3 linked regions of the Lytechinus pictus genome follow. The main gene of each other region encodes a partner of the protein of the gene in region 2 in a complex. Links are inferred from orthologs where the notes say so. Each region holds a gene or a part of one and is shown on either strand. Other genes may lie near its edges.

What was found. Proteins that work in one complex are often made in the same cells at the same time.
Region 1: transcription initiation factor TFIID subunit 4-like (region 2) and transcription initiation factor TFIID subunit 5-like share a complex: the UniProt entries of both Homo sapiens proteins name them as parts of the TFIID basal transcription factor complex. The link is inferred for Lytechinus pictus from reciprocal best matches to the Homo sapiens genes TAF4 and TAF5.
Region 3: transcription initiation factor TFIID subunit 4-like (region 2) and transcription initiation factor TFIID subunit 8-like share a complex: the UniProt entries of both Homo sapiens proteins name them as parts of the TFIID basal transcription factor complex. The link is inferred for Lytechinus pictus from reciprocal best matches to the Homo sapiens genes TAF4 and TAF8.

Annotation. Positions count from the first base shown.
Region 1 is NC_087245.1:16,414,837-16,421,825, reverse strand, and holds the start of transcription initiation factor TFIID subunit 5-like, read left to right. Parts: upstream 1-3,983; 5' UTR 3,984-3,988; coding exon 3,989-4,159; intron 4,160-6,989. UniProt on the Homo sapiens protein: The TFIID basal transcription factor complex plays a major role in the initiation of RNA polymerase II (Pol II)-dependent transcription.
Region 2 is NC_087246.1:38,471,323-38,478,351, reverse strand, and holds the start of transcription initiation factor TFIID subunit 4-like, read left to right. Parts: upstream 1-4,021; 5' UTR 4,022-4,055; coding exon 4,056-5,339; intron 5,340-6,836; coding exon 6,837-7,029. UniProt on the Homo sapiens protein: The TFIID basal transcription factor complex plays a major role in the initiation of RNA polymerase II (Pol II)-dependent transcription.
Region 3 is NC_087250.1:981,651-989,258, reverse strand, and holds the start of transcription initiation factor TFIID subunit 8-like, read right to left. Parts: upstream 3,007-7,608; 5' UTR 2,881-3,006; intron 2,525-2,880; exon of another isoform or gene 2,132-2,524; intron 1-2,131. UniProt on the Homo sapiens protein: The TFIID basal transcription factor complex plays a major role in the initiation of RNA polymerase II (Pol II)-dependent transcription.

The sequences.
Region 1 (6,989 bases), on a different chromosome or scaffold from region 2:
AGAATTTGACAGGTTAAGTTTTTTTTTGGCACTATTTTTTTACTCTAAAATTTCATACAAATTTGCATCAATATAGGCCCATTTGCCTCTATTTCATGGCAATGTTTATTTTGACCAATCTCAATTTTCCATAAATTTTTTTAATGAATCACCACGTTTTGCGGCCACAATTCAACAGCCCCCACCCTCTGTTCGACAAAACGCATCATGTGTGCAAGTGCCACCGAATTGCGCTGCACGTACCTCATGCGATATGCAACCCAAAAGTTGCAGCGGCCATTCACTCCCACACAACAATTGGACCCCATGTCGAATGGATGATTGCCATTATAGCATGCAGTCAACTCGATTACTGTGCAATCTCAACGTGGTTGGCTAGGCCCACAGCTGCAAATTGTATAGAACAGATAGCGTAGCGTTCACAGGGCCTGACCTTTACTTTTTTCTTAGGGAGCCAGCCGGGCTCCTCAAGCACTTTTTTAGGGAGCCCGCATGGGTTTTAAGGAGCCCAAGTTTATCCCTTTTTTTTGCATAATACTGGTCATTACCTATTAAAATATTAAAGCACACCATCACGATACCAGTTGTATTTATTCAGGGTAAATCAGATTTTGACACCCCAACACACTTAGACACCGGTCACAAACACATAAGTCAATGACTTTTTTTTTTCATTTTTAATGCCCCCCCCCCCTCAAAAAAAAATAATAAATTCAAAAAAGGAAACAAATTAAATACATAAACAAAATTGATTTTTTTTTTTCATGCTGAATCATGGATGTGGGTTGGTGTGTGTTTGTGTGGGTGTGACTGTGCGGTGGACTTGGATATACATGTATATGTTAAAGAAATTAATTCATCATCTAATTTTTACTCCAAATATTGTGTTTATATCAGTACAAAAACCACACAGGCTAAGTATGTCACATGTAGGCACATGTTACATGTACATGCATGTATACCCTAACTTTTCCTGCAGTTCTTTGAAAACGCAGATCTCCACGAAAATTGCATTTTTCTATAGGGGAGTCTAAATTTGGTGAAAAAGTATTCATCAATAACTTAAATATATATCACAATGAAGAAACCATCCAACTTTATTGGTAGTTTAAAAAAAAAAACCTGAAATGTAAACTCTATCTGAAACAGAAAATCACCATCATTGAGGCCTTTACTGACTGAATTGTCCCCCAGAGCTCAGGCAGAGAGAGAGAGCTCCGACTTGCACAAGTGTCAGTGCGTGCGTGAGTAAAATCCGGCGTCCTCCTAAAATCAGATGTTGCCATGTTTGATGATTTACTGTCTGATATTTACCCCCTCCCTTGAAAAAATGAAACAAATGATTTTTCAGGAATAATTCACTACCGAGGTAAGTTATTTTGGATGTTAATAGGCGCCCTTTTGACAAGCAGAGCCGATGTCTACATGACACAGAATCGTGATATCTCTAAGGGAAATGTGTGCATTGAAAATTACACACGGCGTAAATGATAATGGACCCCTGTACATGCAACTGTTTCTCGCACCGGTGTAGCACGATTCTTTTTTCCATAGGTACCATGTGTGTGGAAAAACGTGGTACAGAAAAAAAGACGCAGCTAAGCAATTTGAAACTCGCTATTTTCGCTATTTTCAAGGTTTTTTATGATTTTGAAAACATAATTTAGACTTATAAAGCGTGGATTAGTGTGCTGGTAAGAAATTGCTTTTTTGGTGGCTGATACTAGAAAATCTTAGGGAGCCCACCGGGCTTTTTCAATTACTTTCTAAGGAGCCCGCAGAGGTTTTAGGGAGCCTTTTGCCACCGGGCTCCCGCTAAAATCGAGCCCTGGTTCAACGCTAGCGGGCATGTACATTTTGCTTATTACATGACGTCATCCAGCCACTGCAGAGAGCCAATTTATGAATGAAAATATAGCAAGCCTTCCATTACCCCACACAGTATTCCAAAAAGTGTGTGCAGTAAATCGACCTAGAATTTAACTTTCCTATATTTAAGATGAATATCTCGGAGGATCTACATGGATTTTCTTGCCAATACTGCACAGGTAAGCGAATTTCGATTACTTCCTGCTTTTCAGTCAAAGCTTACAAATTAGCCTCGATATGACATTGTGTTAGTTGGAGTTTGTAGTCTATCGAAACGTGCACAAAGTCACAATTGATTTCCGGGTTTCGGAGCATCTCGTGAATATGCATGAAATTGCCGAGTCTTGATAATTTTCAATCAATGCTGGAGCGATCCGATCACGAACCAAGACCAATTCCGGCGTAGACAATGTGACTAGATATCTTATCGTTATCGATACTTTCGCAGTCCGAGGCATAATTTTGGCGACCACGTAGTCATGACGTGATCTGCGCGATTGACCAATCAGCGGTCTCTGATTCGCTGTCGGGGACGGTCTATCCGTATTACACAGTCTCTGGACAATTTGCCACTGTGAGGCCCTTTTTCCTTAGTTTTTCAGTTCTTTCTTTTTTAAGTTATTTTCAAAATACAATCCTAAATTTGCGAGCTTGTAAGTGAACTTACAAGTCATTAAGTCATTCTTAACAACAGATTTTGGTCTGTTCGATTTTTAGAAATTTTTTAATCAGTGGACCCGCTTCTCAAATTTGAGCCAAGCTCTGGAAATGGCTCAGATTCTGTATTTTAAGGGAAAATTTTGACTTTTTGAAGGGTAGGCCTATTTTGGAGTTCACATCAGAAATCGATTGCACGTGGCGAGTTAGACCAAAAGCTTCGGTCTCTGTTACATGTATGTTGGCTGTTCCGCTGAACTCCGTTGGCTCCACTCACCACATACAGAGACCGGAAGTTCAACTTCTAGCTCAATCTGTACAAGGACTCAATGGCCATATGTTTATGTATTTAATAAGTTCGGATAAGACAGGGAAGTGAAGTTGCGCGACAGCTGAAATCACTGTTTTTCCCTTTTAAGTTTATTTTTCCCTGTTTTGGTGCATTTCAGGCCAAAATAGAATATTTTTTATTTTGGTAGCCTAGTTCTTTTTAAATATTATGTTTATGAAATGAAGTCAAAAATCGATGAGCCCCGTCGGAGGGATTTTGCATTGTTAACCCCCTGCTGCATGATACTTGATAGCGAGCCGTCCGTGTAGGCCCTAGGGCTAGGCCTACCCTACGAGAAAAAATAAAAATGTTGAAAAACTCCTCGACCAGTGTGCCCGTGTCATGCGCAATTGAACGTGCTGGCTTATCATGAAATGACTTTGGCTTGCATGTCGAATTCAATTTCAAAACACGTTACCATACTTACGCCGTCACGGTACCCCATCCCCCCCCCCCCCCCCCCGAAAAAAATATTTTGAATTCAAACACTCCCAGTCGAATGGTGAAAAGGGGTACCCAATCTCCCCAATTTGCAATTGATCTGACTGAAGTGAAAGAAAATACATAAGATTCTAATCTGGGCTTTATTTCACATTCGGCACATACACTCGCTCCAGTCTCTCAGGCTCAGCAAATAGCACACCTCAGCTCCACCGCGCTGTAGGCCTAGGCCTACAGTCACTCTAATTCACCACACATCACCTCGTTACGCAGATCAACACGCACCAATTTACACATATAAATAAATGTTTCGAATAAATCTCACCTTATCCCTCATCCTCTAATTATACGTATTAAAACTTCTTTTATAGGTACTGGAAGTTTGAGGTGCTGATTATCCTTCAAAAGAAGGATTTAAACAGATTTGGGAAGCACCGCAGTTGACGAGTGTCAACTGTGAGCGATGCCTAGATAAAGAGAGAGCGTATTGGTTGTAAGTTGCCGATTTAAGAAAAAGAAACACAAACAACACATCATGCGTTCGATGATAAAATCCATCAAAGAATTTTCACATAACCGATACAAATTAATTGTTTTCTTAAGGCAAATAACTTTTAAATGTATTCATGTATATCCATTTATTTCTATTCCATCCTCGAAAATTTTTTTTTTTAAATTTGTTATCAACTTATGTTACCAAAAATGGCGGAACCCATGGAAGAATTAGAGCAAGATTTACTTTGCGAAAAACCTGCTGATACCAATGCTATTGAGGGAAATGAGGAATCGACCGGTCAGCAATCGATGGATAGTCAGACCTTGTCTGCAGTTTTACAGTTCTTGAGGAAAAATAACCTGAAAGTGAGTTCCAGGGTGTCCACCTTTGCACTTGCAGAGATAAAAATCTGTGCTGCAGTGCATTGCCCGTCCCCATGCATAAATATCTGTGTGTGTGTGTGTTTGTTTAACTTTTTTTTTAACTTCAACACAAAAAAAGTTTGTCTGTCTAACTCTAAGTTACATCTGTTTAGCTAATCATTACATTAGACTTGATATGGATTGGATCAAGATATAACTATGGTGTCTGAAGCCACACTGAAAAGTGTCAGCATAAAACAGGCTGATTATTTTAGGGCAAAATACCGGTATGGCACATTTTTGGGGGGAAGTTCAGGCCACTCTAGGCGACACCCCAACTAATAAACTGGGACTCCACTCACGCGCATTTGGGCCGCCCTAGCTTAGAACTAAGCAATATTATCTAGAAATTGTTAGGCCTACATTGTAGTCATTAAATATGTTCTATTAAATAAATTGATAATGTTTAATCGGTACTCACCGGTTCTTTTGTTGCATTTTCAGACCATTTCTCACAATTCTTCGAAAATATTTGCGGCAAATTTTGTCGCCATAGACAGCTTAGCATCCATCTTTATTGATAAATGGAGCGCCCTTTACGATAGTTGTTAATGCCGCGGAGAAATCGTTAGGCATTTTGGCCTGTGTTCAAGGCGTTCTTTCTGTTTTATTTTTTATATTGAAGATTGTGCATTTGTTGAATAGCGCCGTCTACGTCAGGTATGAGATCGAGTGTATAAATAAACTCTTCCAAAATAATTATGATTGCGACCTGGCGCTGTTTAACTTCAATCTCTTTCACCTAAATTAGCGATGAATGCTAGCATTATAAAATATATATTATTAACGTCTGACGAAAAGAATAACCAACCGATCAGCTGCCGAGAACGCGAATCACGTGATCTTCATATCAGCTTCGATCGCGAGTCAGAAGAGAAGAGCAGCTGCCCAGAAAATCAGGAAAAAGCCGTGAAAATGTAAGTTCCCCTTCATTTCTTTCATTTTTTGTTGTTGCTAACGATGCATTTACACTATAAAATTATAATTTAAATAAGAGAAAGGAATATAGCTTGTACTTGTGATATAATATATAAATATCCTGTTCTCAGAGATTTCTAACCAAAAATACTACTGATGTCGCCTATGAGGTCCATACATGTAATGTTGGACCTCATTGGTACTAGGAGTGGTTCAGGCTACTATTTAGTACTAACACTCTAGGCGACACCCCAATACTTACCCGTGTTAATAAATAATAGACTGGGACTCCACTCACGCACATTTGGGCCGCCCTAGCTTGGAACTAAGCATCAATATCAATTTAAAATATATATCTACAAGTTATGTATAACCTATTTACTACTTTGATAATGTTTAATCGGTACTCACCAGTTCTTTTGATGTATTTTCTCAAGAATTTCCACGGATTTGTCCCAAATCTTGCGACAAACCACGTCGCGGTAGACAGCTGTACATTCTTTTTTATTTATAAATAGAGCGCCCCTTACGATAGTTGTTAAGAACGCGGCCAAATTGTTAGGTTTTTTGCACTGTGTCCAAGGCGTTTTTATTTTGTTTGATTTTTTATTTTTTAATAAATATTTTGTTAAATAGCGATTTTTACGTCAAATATTAAATTCATATCACAAAATATTTTTAATTGTAGAAATATATATAATATCATGCAATTATTTATTCTATATATATTTTATAATAGAATTTATAATTGTTGCGGTCTTTAAAAAAGGATAGTCGATCGATTAGGTGATGACTACTCGTATCACGTGATCTGAAAATCAGCTTCGTACCGCTTTGATCGCACTCGACGGGACCGGACTGACTGCCAAGAAAAGATTGAAAAAGGACTCAAATGTAAGTTTCCCTTTATTTTATAACATTTAAAGTATGAGAAGGATTATAGTTAATGGGCAATTTTTTAATAAATGCTAAACAAATGAGGACAAAGCTTGCATTTTTCGAGTAATAATCACTAATATCATAAAAATACTTGGGTGCAGGACTTCTAACCTGTTTTTAACGCATTGTCGCCTATGAGGTCCATACATGTTAATGTTTGGACCTCATTGGTACTAGGAGTGGCTACTAATAGAAAAATGTGATCTGAATTGATTATTAACTTGTGAAGTTGTGTTTGGCATGTATGGAAAGAGAAAATTCAGGGGCTTCTTTTGACAGTAAGGACAAGTTTATATGATCATTTTAAATAAGGATTTAGAGATATAAATTTCAAACCCTTATTTTTGTGTGTGTTGAGATTGCCATTTCTCCATGCGTTTTCTATGGGAATATGAAATTTCTGTTTTGCACAATTTTTTTCACTTTGTCGCAATTTTTCATGGTGATCTGGTTTCCAAATCTATATAAAAATCGTACCATCAGATAGAGCATAAAAAATCCTATTGGACTCTTTATGGACAAGTTTTTGGCATTAATAATAAATTTATAACAGCTCTCGGAAGCTAAAAATTTGTGTGTGTCCATTTCTTAACTACACAGTCTATGGCAGAGAAATTCTGAAAATTGACCTAATTTCATTCTTCTCTTTTGCAGCCAATAATTGGATTTTTACATTTCTGTCAGTCTGAAGGTCATTTCTCTTCAAATCCACAAAGAAAATGTGATATTTTCTTGAAATAAGAAAAATAATTTTTTTCTCCAGACACCCTAATATAACGTTGGGCTCAAGTCTCAGCTCATCTATCTTTAGTTTTCAGTTAATTGATGGCCTGGGCTGGGCTGTCAGCACTCACACTAATACGAGGTTAGGGGGGGGGCACTCAGTATATAATGCATAGTGGGTATTAGACCAAAA
Region 2 (7,029 bases):
AAAAAAGGGGGGGGGGGTAGTTTTGAAAGACTGGTCAATCGCAGGGTCTAACGTATTTAGGGTATGTTTTTTTCAAAGCTTTTTTTAAAGACTATTGAAACGTGTTTAGGGCATGCATGTTTTTTCCCCCAAGCTTTTTCCCTGCGGTCATATTCTGGCGACAACTTGTTTAGGGGTCAAAATGTGTAAATAAATCCCGCGAAAAACTTGTTTAGGGGGTTATTTTGCACACAGAGAAAAAAATGTTTAGGGGGTGTTTGGTAATAATTTGGCCACGCGTGTGTACAGCAATTCATTTGACTGCCCCCCCCCCCCCCCCCGGGCATAATTATGCTGATGAATCAATTCGATAGACAGCAGTCTGTAATAAAAGACTGCATCAGATCAACAACAGGTTTTGGATGGTTAAAATACAGGGAAAGAAAATGAAGCGAGTGAGTACTGGCAGCGTGCTAACAATGTTTTTTTTTAATCTAAATTCATGTGGGCTATAATTTGCCACTAAAACTCTTTAAAATGAGGGCAAACAAAAGAAATAAGGAAGGTAGTACAAACAAAAAAGTCCAAGATAAAGTTGAGAAGAGAAGGAGAAAGAAAGGAGAGAAAGGAAAGTAAAAAAAAGAGAACATAGAGAAAGACGGAGAGAATACGAAATATTATATTTATTCTTTCTTCTCTTCTTTGTTTTATTTTACCTTTTTGTTCTATTTTTTTTTCAATTTTTTTCTTCTACCGTCTACCATTTCATTTTTTATTTTTCCTATAGATTTATCTTCATGGGAGGGGATTCACCTCCTGTGCATCAATTTCCCCTTCACTGCATATTTGACATTCTAAGCTTTTCCTCCTCGTTTCTGAAAAGTGTCACTGAAGTGTCCCTCTTTATTATGAAGCAACATCTTTCTTTTTTTTAATAAATATTTTTCTTCCCTTCCCAATCATGCCCCACTTCTCTCCCTTTCCCTTTCCTTCCATTTCCCTTTCCTCGAATCCATGCATATTTGACATTCTAAGCAATTTTTACAATCCTCAACAATTAACTTGAGTACGAAACTTCCCGAGCTGAAATCTTCGATACTCTGACATGAAAATGAACCCCTATTAAGGACTCTCTGCAGTGACCCATAAGGATGATACATATCTCACTCAAATTGAATGGATGTACAGTAAGTACCATATTTTGATAATGCGACCTGAAAACTTGACATTCTTCAGCCTTTTTTTTTTACTACTACTACTAGTACTACTACGACTAAATACTACTATACTATACTATACTACTACTATACTACTACTACTACTACTACTATACCACACTACTACTATACTACTATACTACTACTACTTCTACTACTACCACTACTATGGGGGCTAGTCAAATATATATATCTGTACCAAAAACCGATTGAAAAAAAGTGGTTTTGAAATACTGGTCATGGTCAATCGCGGGGTCAATGTAGGTATTTTGTATGTTTTTTTTTTTCCAAAGTTTTTATTTACGACGACCCAAACGTAGTAACGTACTTAGGGTATGTTTTCCCCCAAACTTAGTCCCCGAGGCTTTTCCTCCTCGTTTCTGAAAAGTGTCACTGAAGTGTCCCTCTTTATTATGAAGCAACATCTTTCTTTTTTTTAATAAATATTTTTCTTCCCTTCCCAATCATGCCCCACTTCTCTCCCTTTCCCTTTCCTTCCATTTCCCTTTCCTCGAATCCATGCATATTTGACATTCTAAGCAATTTTTACAATCCTCAACAATTAACTTGAGTACGAAACTTCCCGAGCTGAAATCTTCGATACTCTGACATGAAAATGAACCCCTATTAAGGACTCTCTGCAGTGACCCATAAGGATGATACATATCTCACTCAAATTGAATGGATGTACAGTAAGTACCATATTTTGATAATGCGACCTGAAAACTTGACATTCTTCAGCCTTTTTTTTTATCATTAAAAAAAACCGTTTCTCAGTATACATAAACAGCGCTAAGCGCGAGATGATGTTTTTAGATTGCATCGGATGTCTGGTTTTTTTTTGGAAAAAAAATGGACATTAAATCTGATTCTATGCACTTTTTTCAATCACAAAAGCTTGTCATTTGCTCATCAAATAATGCAAGCGCAAAGCGCGAGCTGTGAATTTTTGATATTCCTACAAATAAAGAACATGCAAGCTGTGTATCTCAGTAGACAATTAATGCGAGCGCGAAGCGCGAGCCGATATTTTGTTATATTACATAGGTTATGTAGATTCGAATCAGTGATAGGTCAATACACCATCACGTGACCATAACTGCGAGGATCGCATTTGTTATATTCTAGGTTTTGACGTCACCTCAGGGAATATACTGCGTTGTATTGTCAATTGCGGCGTTATATTCACTAAGGTGACGTCACTCGCTGCATACAAGTTGCGTAACAAGGTAGTTATTGATGTACGCGCTAATGTTAACGCGTCGATTGCATGAAGTACGCGCTTGATGTATTTAAAAAAAAAATATATTATGACGTAGATGGATTAGAGCTGTAGCAAGAATTTCGGGTTTGAGCCAGATGATGAATGCAATTCTGATGGCGAATCCACATAGACTATATAATATAACAGATATTGCCTGGTCTATCGTTTTAATAAATAACATTTCAACTCCCCTCCGAAGCTATAATTTTCCCTCGGGATAATATTTTCCCTCAGCGCTGCGCGCTTCGGGCAAAATATAATCCCTTGGGAAAAATATAACTCCGTCAGGTAGAGGAAATGTTATATTCAAACTCTAGGTAGGCAATATCTGTATAATATAGTACCGAAAGGGAACATTTAATCACTGTTCAACATTGAAATGAGGTAAATTTTGAAGAGGATATGGATTTCACTAAAATGATGCGAACGCACGATGTGCGAGCTGGAACTATTTGGTGATTAAAATTTAACGACTTACCACTACTACCACTGCTACCATACTGCTCTTAATTCTGTTACTATATATACTACTACAACAACTACTACTACTACTACTCTACTACTATACTACTACTACTACTACTACTACTACTACTACTACTACTACTACTACTACTATACTATACTACTATACTACTACTACTACTACTACTACTACTACTACTACTAGTACTACTACGACTAAATACTACTATACTATACTATACTACTACTATACTACTACTACTACTACTACTATACCACACTACTACTATACTACTATACTACTACTACTTCTACTACTACCACTACTATGGGGGCTAGTCAAATATATATATCTGTACCAAAAACCGATTGAAAAAAAGTGGTTTTGAAATACTGGTCATGGTCAATCGCGGGGTCAATGTAGGTATTTTGTATGTTTTTTTTTTTCCAAAGTTTTTATTTACGACGACCCAAACGTAGTAACGTACTTAGGGTATGTTTTCCCCCAAACTTAGTCCCCGAGGCTTTTCCTCCTCGTTTCTGAAAAGTGTTCGGGTTCTTATTCCCTGTTGTGGTATTTTAACCTTAAATGCACTAGGGGGGGGGGGGGGCATGCCCGGCAATACCCATATAGTTTTGTCTATTTAAGGTTATTGTTAGCAAGTAGACAAGTACTTGTTTATTTACAGGGGTCATATTCTGGAGACAACTTGTTTACGGGCCAAAATGTGTAAATGAAGCCCGCGAAAAACTTGTTTAGGGGGTTATTTTGCACACAGAAGAAAAACTCGTTTATATATTGTTTAGAAATATAATTGGTCACCCATACAGCAATATATTTGACTACCCCCCCCCCCGGGGGGGACTAGTACTAGGACTACACGGGGACAATCTAATATCTTTTAGTATGTTAACGTAATTTTGTAATGTTGAAAGTTTTTTGGGGGTTTGGGTGAGCGTTTGTTTGGGGTGGGGTATGTGTTGGGTTGGACAGTAAGAAAATGAGAAGCAACGTGCAGGAAACGGGCTATTTATTTTCGCGTGCAACAGTTGAACGCGAAAATCCATCCCATTATAGTTACATTGCGCATGCGCTATTTCATTCATTCGCAAGCCATGGTGGAGTGAAGATGGCGGGTGCGAAGTCCATTGAAGATATATTTTCTTCTGAGGTTGACGAAAAGGAGGTATCTGCGTTGGTTGGATCTCTCGTTACAAAATTAGCCCCACAGAATCCCAAGGCTGCGTCTGGACCATCACAAGATGCCACAGTGACAAGGAATCATGTCAACGATAACTCTTCCGTACATGCACAAACTGGACCTGGCGGGCTAACAACGTTAAAACAAGCGGAGCCGGGGATTTCAATACACGCGAATGCGACAAGACAAACCATGCAGGATTCCCATTTGGGCACCACGGGCGCACCAACGACGAAGGGTCTCAATCACGAGAATGCGCCTGGCAATATCCATGCAAATGACAATGCAACTCAAGGGAATGGTCAAAATAATCATGGAATAGGATCAACATCTATCGCTGATATTGTGAAACGAGACTCACAGCCACCGGCAATTTCAAACATGATGACGAAGCCGCCAACGGCTACGACCGTTTCGGTGAGCCAACAGTCACCTGCGATTGTGGCACAGATCACCGGAGCGGGCCTTCAAAAACCAAATGAACCGCCGATCAGCAGACCACTTTCTGGGAATACAATGGGTCAAAATAGAACTTCGGTTAACAATGACCAACAAATTGTTAAAGTTGTTTCAGTGCCTAGCATGCCAAGTGGCAGTGCTGTGCAAAATACAAACTCTTCAAAAAATGAACATGGTGCAACTGCAAATATGAATTCTATTTCTATTTCTAATCAAAATGTAAGCTCAGTCTCAGCTGGGTCTGCCAAAGAGCAGCTTCTCGTTAGGCAACAGACATTACCAAGTAATGATCAATCAGGTGCAATGAAACCAAGGATTGTTGTTCAGCCAAGCATAGCAGCAACAATTCAGCAAGCAACTTCTGGAGTCGCTACAATATCTGGTATTCCATCAGGCAACATGACACTGGGCAATGCCAATCAGAAAGTTGTGACAATTAATGTTGCCAATCCAGCCACCCAAACAGGAGGCAGACCAGGGCAATATGTGGTAAATACTGTTCCAGGAAGTAAAGCTGTATCGCCTCAGATTATAACACAGACAGTACGGATGCCCACTGGGCATCATGTGATTGCTCCTAGAGCACAGCTTGGTGGACAGGTTCAGATACGTCTGCCTCCAGGCACCACCTTGCCACCTGGAGTTGTATTAATCAATAAAGGAGGAACAGTACAAGCTGTCATGGCAAATCCAGCTGGCATTCAAGCTCACGTAGCAGGAGCTCCTGGAATGACAACATACCGGCATGTCCAGGTACAAAGTTTTCTAAATAGAAAGGGGGGGGGGTAATTAATACCCTGGTGTTATCTTCTTGCCCATTTGAGTCTTTAAAAAATTGAGTAGTCTAGAACCTGTCTCAATCATCTCTATGCCACTTTAAAACATCTTGTGGGCGATTCCATACGTGTCGTACGGGACATTTTGTCAACAATTTCAAGTCTCTTAGCTGATTGCTTGAGCAATGAGAAATTATTTTTGGTCAATAAAGTTATAGTGGGTAGTCATGTGAAAAACTGATTACCAACAAAAAATATTTGATTATGGCTTAATTAAGGGCGCAAAAATGTTGTGTGTCGTACGGGACTCAGAAATGTCCCGTACGACATGCAACATTTTCACCTCTAATTCACCCATGGACAGCATATTTTTGTTGGTTGTCATTTTTTCATGTCTACCCAGTAGTACTCTATTAATTACCACAAAACAAATTGAAGTTCTTTGTTTATTTGGACAATAGGTTGAAAAATGTAGCAAAAATCGCTGATTTTTCTAGCATGGAATCGCCCTTGTTTGTCATTCAAAATAATGGAGGGTAACATGGTGCAATCTTTTATGTTAACTGGTGTGTTACCAAGTTATGTAGATCTAAGTGAATTTTCAAATCCTATTTTTTCCTGTAATTCAAAATTTAGTTCAAACTAAAGAACATCTTGTGGTACAGTATATTTTTGAGAAATGGTGCATTGTGATTTTTTTTTATAACTTTTGTTCTCACTCTCATCAAACTTCCTCTTGTAGTGTTTTATTCTTCTTGTGCCATGGGCATGATAATGGATCATTTAATATGTACTTGTACAAGCATTCAGTGACTTGCTTTTGAATAATAAACTGGGTCATTATTGTCATACGGATCTAGTATTCACAATCGATGCATAGTCACAGGAACTTTTTTCTCTGTTCTTATTCAATTCAATTGAAGTTGTAGTTCTAATATAAAGATATAAAATCACATGTGGAGGGGTCATAGAAAGTGTAAAGCTTGTACAAATTGGCTCTGTAAATTACAGATAGATGTACATGTAACTTGCATCAACAAAATGACGAGATCAAAATTTTGAATCATTATAAGAAATGTAAAATCTGAAAGAGAATAGGAAAATAATTTGATTACAATGCAAGGAAAGCAATATACTGAGATACATGTATGTTTGATTCCGAAATCATGCCTATTAAATTTAAAGAGTCACTATCTTCTTAGAATTGGGTAATGAAATCAAGAAAACAAAAGTAAACAACAGATTGTTTAGTTGAAATACATGTATTATGGATTGCTTCTGAGTAAAGTAGTGCTAGTAAGTACCTGTACATTGGCCTATTGATAACTTTCATACATTGGAATCGAGCCAAAGATATCTATGAAGCATTTAATAAATTTTTCATTTTTTGGGGGGGTAAGTTTTACTTTTATTGATTTACCATTCCCAACAGTTTTACTAGAGGAATATAATTCTTTCTATCCTTATATTGCAGCCAGGAATAGTCACCTCTACAGCTCAGCCAGGGAGGGTCCTTACATCAGTTGGTGGGAGTAATGTTGTCAGCAGTCCTCAAGTTACAACCACTCGGTCAGGTTCACCTGTAGTCATTGCCTCTGGAACACCGACAACAGCAATGAGAGGAGCTACAGCTGCGAATGCATCTTCACAACAAACCTCATCATTAC
Region 3 (7,608 bases), on a different chromosome or scaffold from region 2:
TGAGGAGGGGGGGGGGGGGGCGGAGCAAAATATGAAATATGGTTTTGTGTATGTTGTGTGTACCTCGTTGTTCTATGTTGTGCTTATAAATACTCTATTATTTTCTTTCTTCTTATGTTTCTTTGTTTTTGATGATGATCCTTCAATGTCAGGATTTTATATCAATAAGCTTAAATTTGAAAAATTTGAATTTGTATGACTGTGTAAGTTTTTTTGTTCAAAGGCTGCAGTAGAGGCGGGTCCAACATATACCTGCATGAAGGGGGAGGAGTAAAAAAAACGGACCCCCCTAAATTTTCTGTTGATAACCATTTTTTTTTTTTGCTTGTCAATTTTTTTCCTTGGGTCCCCCCTAGATTCAGGTGGACCCCCCCTAACATTTTTGTGGCTCCCTAAAATTTTGGTTGATAACCTTTTTTTTTTTTCAGGTGGACCCCCCAAAAAAAAATATTTTGGCTTCCGCCACCAATGAAAGGGGGGAGGCTACACGTGTAAAAGCAGAATTTATTTACATTAAAATTTTTGATAATGGCTCTCAAGGAGTGGGTAGTATGTGCCCCCCCCCCCTTTGGATCCTCCACTGGTCATGTACAGGGCATGCATTTAAATTGGGTGGGGGGGTGTACATGTAACTAACCTCTGGTGTCAAGGGGGCAGCCAGCCCGTGCCCCTCCCCCCCCCCCTTGAGAGGCACAATTAAAATTTGTATATGTAAAAATGCTATTAAAACTTAAAACACAAGTGTGCCCTCCCCCCCTTTGAAAGTGAGGACTTTTATTTGGTTGTCAGATTTTTTGTAGAAGAAATGTACTTCATTTTTGGTTGAAAACATTTCTTCTTTTTTTGGTCAAATTTTTCCTCGGGAAAATGTGCCCCCCCCACCCTTGGAAAATCCTAGATCCACCCGTGTCAATACTATGTTTGAAAAGAGGTATACCCCTTCCATCCCTGATGTAACCCATTTGCTGAAAAAAAATATATACTGTATTTGAAGAGGGGGCTAACATACCCCCTTTGTCTCCTTTGGCTTAACACCTGATGAGTGCACATGTACATGCACACACACACGCCACGTGTAGATTACGTGTTCTACTGGCGCCATGACCACTGCACTTATGGGCAGCCAAAAGGGCCAAAATTAACAATCTCAAAAATAAAGAAACTCTCGGAAATAAATGTAGTATCTCAGAAATATATTATTCAGAAATTAATACATTACTTTGGACGACTAGTACATAAGTCAGAAATAAATGTATTTAACCAGAAATGGATATAATTGAGAAATAAAAGACAACTCCGAAATAAATCTTGTCAGTCATAGATAAAGATTTAGAATTATAGGACACATTCAGAAAAAAATATTGTAATTGAAATAGCAGTATATTTTACAAATAAATGTCATCGTTCAGATAAAGATGACCTCGCAAATAAAACAATGTCAAAAATAAGAAAACTCTAGAAGTAAAGATAACTACAGAAATAAAGACAACTGCAGAATCATGTTTTCACGGAATAAAAACAATTCTTGGAAATAAACACAATCACAGTTTTGCGGGGATATAACAAAAATAATTCATTTCTGAGAGAGTCTGAGAGGCTGCATTTATTTCTGAAAGACTGGGATACTACATTTATTTCTGAGAGTTTCTTAATTTTTGAGATTGTTAATTTTGGCCCTTTTGGCTGCCCATATGCACTAGCTAGCGACACAGTCACAGAGCTCGATCGCGATAGGCGATCCGTGCGGTCCATTTATTTCAATTCACCTCATCATTGCACAAGTTCAATGCGACATTTCTTATTCATTAGGGGTACGAATTGTTATTCATATCAAACAATTTCAAAAGGGTCATTATTAATGCCAGTTCATCCTCGCTCAAACTCAAGAAAAATTACGACTCATTAGTCCGACATCACCTTGCGTTTAAGATTTGAGGGCGATATGCGACACATTTGTGAAGTCGGAAAATTACCATCGCCCGAAGAAAAAACCTTCCATAGTTCATACTTTAATTGGCGTCAAGAAAACGTCGCCTGAGAAATAAAAGATAAATAAAGGCCGAACAAAAATTGAAAATACTCATGAATTATGTAAACAAAAAATCACTTTAAAAAACACAATTTTGCTTACCCGTTTCGTATTTCCAGCATCAAAACAACTTTTCGAACTCGAAATCATGTTCGCAAAGAAAGAAATTTGATGTTTCATCGAATGGCGATGAAATGAGAGAGAAAATAAAACCTGGAAGTCAAATCTCACGAAACTCGATATTTTCAAGATGGCAACTCTTTCGGGGATGTACGAGTGTCGAGTGACAAGATCGTCTCTGTAAAATGGATTATTAATTATGGACCTCAAAGTACACGATGTAAGTTTTAAAATCAAATGTAATAATTTTGTATGGCACAATAATATGATTTTCCCGTGCATGTCTTTTTTATTTTATAAAAAGTTTGATTGTATTTGTAGAAATTGTTAATATTGATCTCGCCAATTTAACACTGCACTACACGGTGTCGGTGACAGATACGAGAATAGTGTCACGAGTGTGAGTGCATGAGGCAAGCCAAGCCCCACTCACACGTATTGCGAGGTTAGTATTACTATTAGTAGTATACTAACACAACACACAACTTCTATGGCTTAATTTTTCCGTGCGCGGCGGCATGTAATGATGTACACTTGGGTGGCCAAGCCCAAGAAACTTAGACGTGGTTTCTTTTATTTACAAACAGCAATTGTAATGAATGGGACTGTTGTGTAAGATAATCGGAATATCGTCATGCGTCACTCCAGTCTTACAGCGGGATCTCTGCCTTGCAGAAAGGGGTATAAACTTAAACGTAGGCAAAAATTACAGGAGGAATCAATGGGCTTACCTTTAGAATACTTTCAGACTGAAAGCTGACAATAAAGACTAATAAAAGTGACTCCAAATAACAAATCTCGCCTCCTCCGATATTATCCGTACCGACAAAACCGTGTCGCCGAAAGGTCAAAATGGAAAAAGAAAGAAGAACGGAAAAAAAAAACCAAACATCAGCGGCGGATCCAGGATTTGAATGAAAAAGAGGTATTTCATTTGAAACATATTACTTTGACTATCCGTAGGCCTACGACAAGATTTCTTTGCTTTTGTTTTTTAACCAAAATGCATATATCATTATGTGCCACCATTGGCAAGTGATGCAAAATAACTCTTTTCATCATAAGTGTTATATTCTTTGATGGGAAAGCATTTTATGCACATGCGGACTTCTCTCCCTCTGTTCTCTTTATCTCCATTCTCTCTCTTGACCAACCCCCTCCATTCTCTCTTATATCTGCCTCTCTTGCGCATCGAGTGAGTTTCTATAGTCTAAAATCATGATAACACATAAATGTAGGTATTACATTCCTTTCTTAATCATTACAGGTTTTTATTCGTTCTTTTTTTGTGGAAATTGAATGAATATTCACTCATTTATATATTTTAAATGCAAGCAAAATCAAAGGCAGCTAGATTTTATTTTCAAATGTCATGTGTTAAAAGCCTTAAAATATAATTTCAAAATAATATTTTCATTAAAAAAAAGTGTGCTGTGTTCAAGCAAACTCAGATTTTACTTGCAATGGCAAGTCGCAGCAGCTGTTACGAATGTTGTACTTCTTGGATTGGACACTAATGGAACTAGTATATCTGTTGCCTCAGCTCCCCAACTTCATTTCTTGCATGAGCTTCATGTTAAACGTTCTCTGTTGGTGAACAACAACTAGACAGTCTGGTGATACACTTTATTCCAATCTCCTCCTGAGCCTTGCTCTTTTGTTTCTATATGTATTTATCAAACCACTTTTTCTGCGTATCCACTGGATCTCGCAGTTCTCCAGGACTGGAGGAAATCAACAGAAGAAGAAGAAGAAGGTTAATTTCTTCTTGACAAACTCACACATTAAAAATCTTTTGTTGTCCTGTTCTTGTTATATAGCTTAATGGTTTCCACACTAAGCAAAAGATAAAGCTTGCAAGATATACAGCGTGTCCCACAAAAATATTAATGACACTTTAAATGAGTATAATGTGAAAATTACAAAGTCATATTTGTATATAATTCTACAATCGTAAATTGGCATTTGTTATATGCAACTGGCTTAAATTTTATGTGATATGATCCATCGAACACAGAGATATGAGCCTTCTTTCAGAAAAGTATGTAGTCCAATCATATCTTCATTCACTCTGTTTTTTATAGATATTTGGGGCAGAACTTCCGGGCCTATATTTATTTTTTAATGGAGGTTTGAGAAACTTGGCACGATATCTTTTATCAAACATGAAAATTGATTGATTGATTATAGGCCTAAAAGAAAAAACAACAAATTTTGTAATCCATGATCTTATCTTGATCTCATCTATTCATTAGAAGGGATGAATGAATAGGTCATCACAAAGTCTTGAACAAAAGAATATCCTTGCAGATTCACACCCGTGGCTGAACGTGAATAGACATAATTTGAACCACAAAAATCTTGTTAGCTGAAACTTACTACTTGATATAAAACTTGGATGAAGAGGTTTCCTGATGTTTAATGAATAAATGCTCATATATTTGTGATCATTGGACCATATCACAAAAACAGGGGCCGTGGAACGGTTTTCAAAGTGAGGGGGGGGGGGGGGGGGGCTGACCATACAAAAAATCACAATCAGCTTCCGCGGCCCCTGAAAAAAAATCATCCACTTTTGGGAAATGAATTGTAGTTTAGAGGTGTAAAGATATAAACAATATAATGTTGTAATTTTAAAATTATACCCATCTAGAGTGACATTAACATTTTTAGGGGAACATGCTGTATTGTGAAAAATCACAATAAAATATATTCTCAATGAGATGCTTGGTTTTAAAGCAAACACTTCTCTTTGTTTGGTTGTAGTCAATTCACAAGCACCATGCATGTTTGTTGTCAAATCCATATAAATTAACATTCAATATGGAAGTTCATTTTTTTGACATATTGAATACATTTATTAAAAAATTGAACAGACATGTGGACAAATATCACAAATAATAAATATGGAAATACTTCAATATATGGAAATAAATATGTGAATAAATCTATAAAATATTTGATGTACAAGACTTATAGCACATAATACAAAAATAAATAATTTAGGTTAATTCTTTCAATAACACAGATCCCCATCTATAATATAGGAATTACAAGAGTGATTTGTATAAAGAATCCTAGCCGGTCACGCTCACAAATTGCGCCCCAATTGTGATATCATGCTTTCACGTTAGCTCGCGATAGCTCAGTCCGTAGAGCGGGGTTCGGTGACCGGGGTTCGATTCCCAATTGGTGTGCTAGTACTCTTTGGTAAGGCATCAATCCCCATTACCAGGTCCCTCAGAGAGGACCTTACGTCATCGGTCCTCTGGTTTTTGCTTACAAGCATTGATGCTTTCTCAGCAATCAGGTAACAATCACTACCATTACCATTTATCCTGACAAAAAGGTTTATTGTAAAAATCTAAACAATAATAAAAAAATATTGTTGAAGATTTGAGGGAAATCCATCAGTGATCTTAAAGTTATTTGAATTTCAATTATTTTATATTTGTGACGTCATATGCGAGCAGCTTCCCAAGTATCATGAATTTAAAAAATCAATGAAATTTCATTTTCTCAAAAATTGAAAATGTTTTTTATTGTACAGGTCTTCAGTATATCAACAGACAAATTATATTACACCTGCTCCCAAAAGAACAAAGTTATTCATTATGAACCATTAAAACATTGAAATTTATGCATTTTATATTACATAACATATAGGGGGCAGCTGCTTGTATATATGACGTCACAAATCAAAAACTTAAAATTCTAATAACTTTCTTAATATTTATTGAATTTTCCTCAAAACTTCACCACTATCTTTTATCCCTTTTTCTGCAATTTTTTGCAGGTTTTTGTCAGGGTGAACTTCTCCTTTCATCCTGATCGCCATGCATTAATCATCAGGCTCATTTTGTTACAGATTTCCTGTGATCTCACTTGTAGGTATATTGATATTCCTTAGTCTACCTCATGCTTAGGAGCCATCATTTAGTTGAATATTTCTGAATAATTTTCAATTCTCACAAACATTGCTTGATATACATGTCAGGCAAAAAAAAAAAAGAAGCCTAATTTTGCGGCATTTGATAAGTTTTAACATTGCAATGAATGGGGATTTTCGAGAGCCTTTTATAGTTTCTAAGTTTCTTTTGATCATTTTGGGGGCTGTATTGCCCTAAGCCTCTGTATATTTTTCCTCTGATACATGAAAGGCAACTAGTCAATACAGGGAAAATAAGTAGATTGAACAAGGTCCCTCATTATGTTGGTGGCACATATATTTATAAAACACATAAATTGTTTGAATACAGGTGTAGTGTAAAATTGTCTTAATGCCATCCACAAGCTGGGTTACTTTTATACACTGTACCTTTATATTGATCACATAAGCCTAAGGTGTAGTGTAAAGGTGATTAATGCCATCCACAAGCTGGGTTTACACTAATTAGTTTACACCGCACCTTTAGATTGATCACATAAACCAAAGGTGTAGTGTAAAGGTGATTAATGCCATCCACAAGCTGGGTTTACACTAAGTAGTTTACACCGCACCTTTAGATTGATCACATAAACCGAAGGTGTAGTGTAAAGGTGATTAATGCCATCCACAAGCTGGGTTTACACTAAGTAGTTTACACCGCACCTTTAGATTGATCACATAAACCTAAGGTGTAGTGTCAAGGTGATTAATGCCATCCACAAGCTGAGTTTACACTAATTAGTTTACACCGCACCTTTAGATTAATCACATAAACCTAAGGTGTAGTGTAAAGGTGATTAATGCCATCCACAAGCTGAGTTTACACTAGGAAGTTTACACAACACCTTTAGATTGATCACATAAACCTAAGGTGTAGTGTAAAGGTGATTAATGCCATCCACAAGCTGGGTTTACACTAAGTAGTTTACACCGCACCTTTAGATTGATCACATAAACCTAAGGTGTAGTGTAAAGGTGATTAATGCCATCCACAAGCTGAGTTTACACTAGGAAGTTTACACAACACCTTTAGATTGATCCCAGAAACCTGTTACATGATGAACCTATTCTGAAACCCTGTTGTCCTATTACAGTTACAATTGATTCACTTACACCTTTAGTTTCCCCATTCATACCATGCCTCAAATGTCATTATTTTTTAAACAAAGCCACATTACTAGAGGGAACATTCTATATTACAGAACAAATAAGAAAATTATGATGGACAGAATTAATCTCCAAGGACATAGATAGGGTCAATCAGACAAGGGCATCCTTGACCATGACCTCAATGACCTTTAGAATAAATTATGACAAGAAAAAAAAAATTGTCCACTCAAATGACATAAGGCAAGATAATGTAATACCATACTATCTACAAGAAAACAGCAAGAAATCATTTGATTAATTGCTTGGTACTGCAGAATTGGAAGCATTAAAAACAAACATACTGAAGCTTTCCAGCATGCACTCATTAGAGTAAAACCACATGAATGAATAGAACGCCAGAACCAAACAATATAGAAAAAAA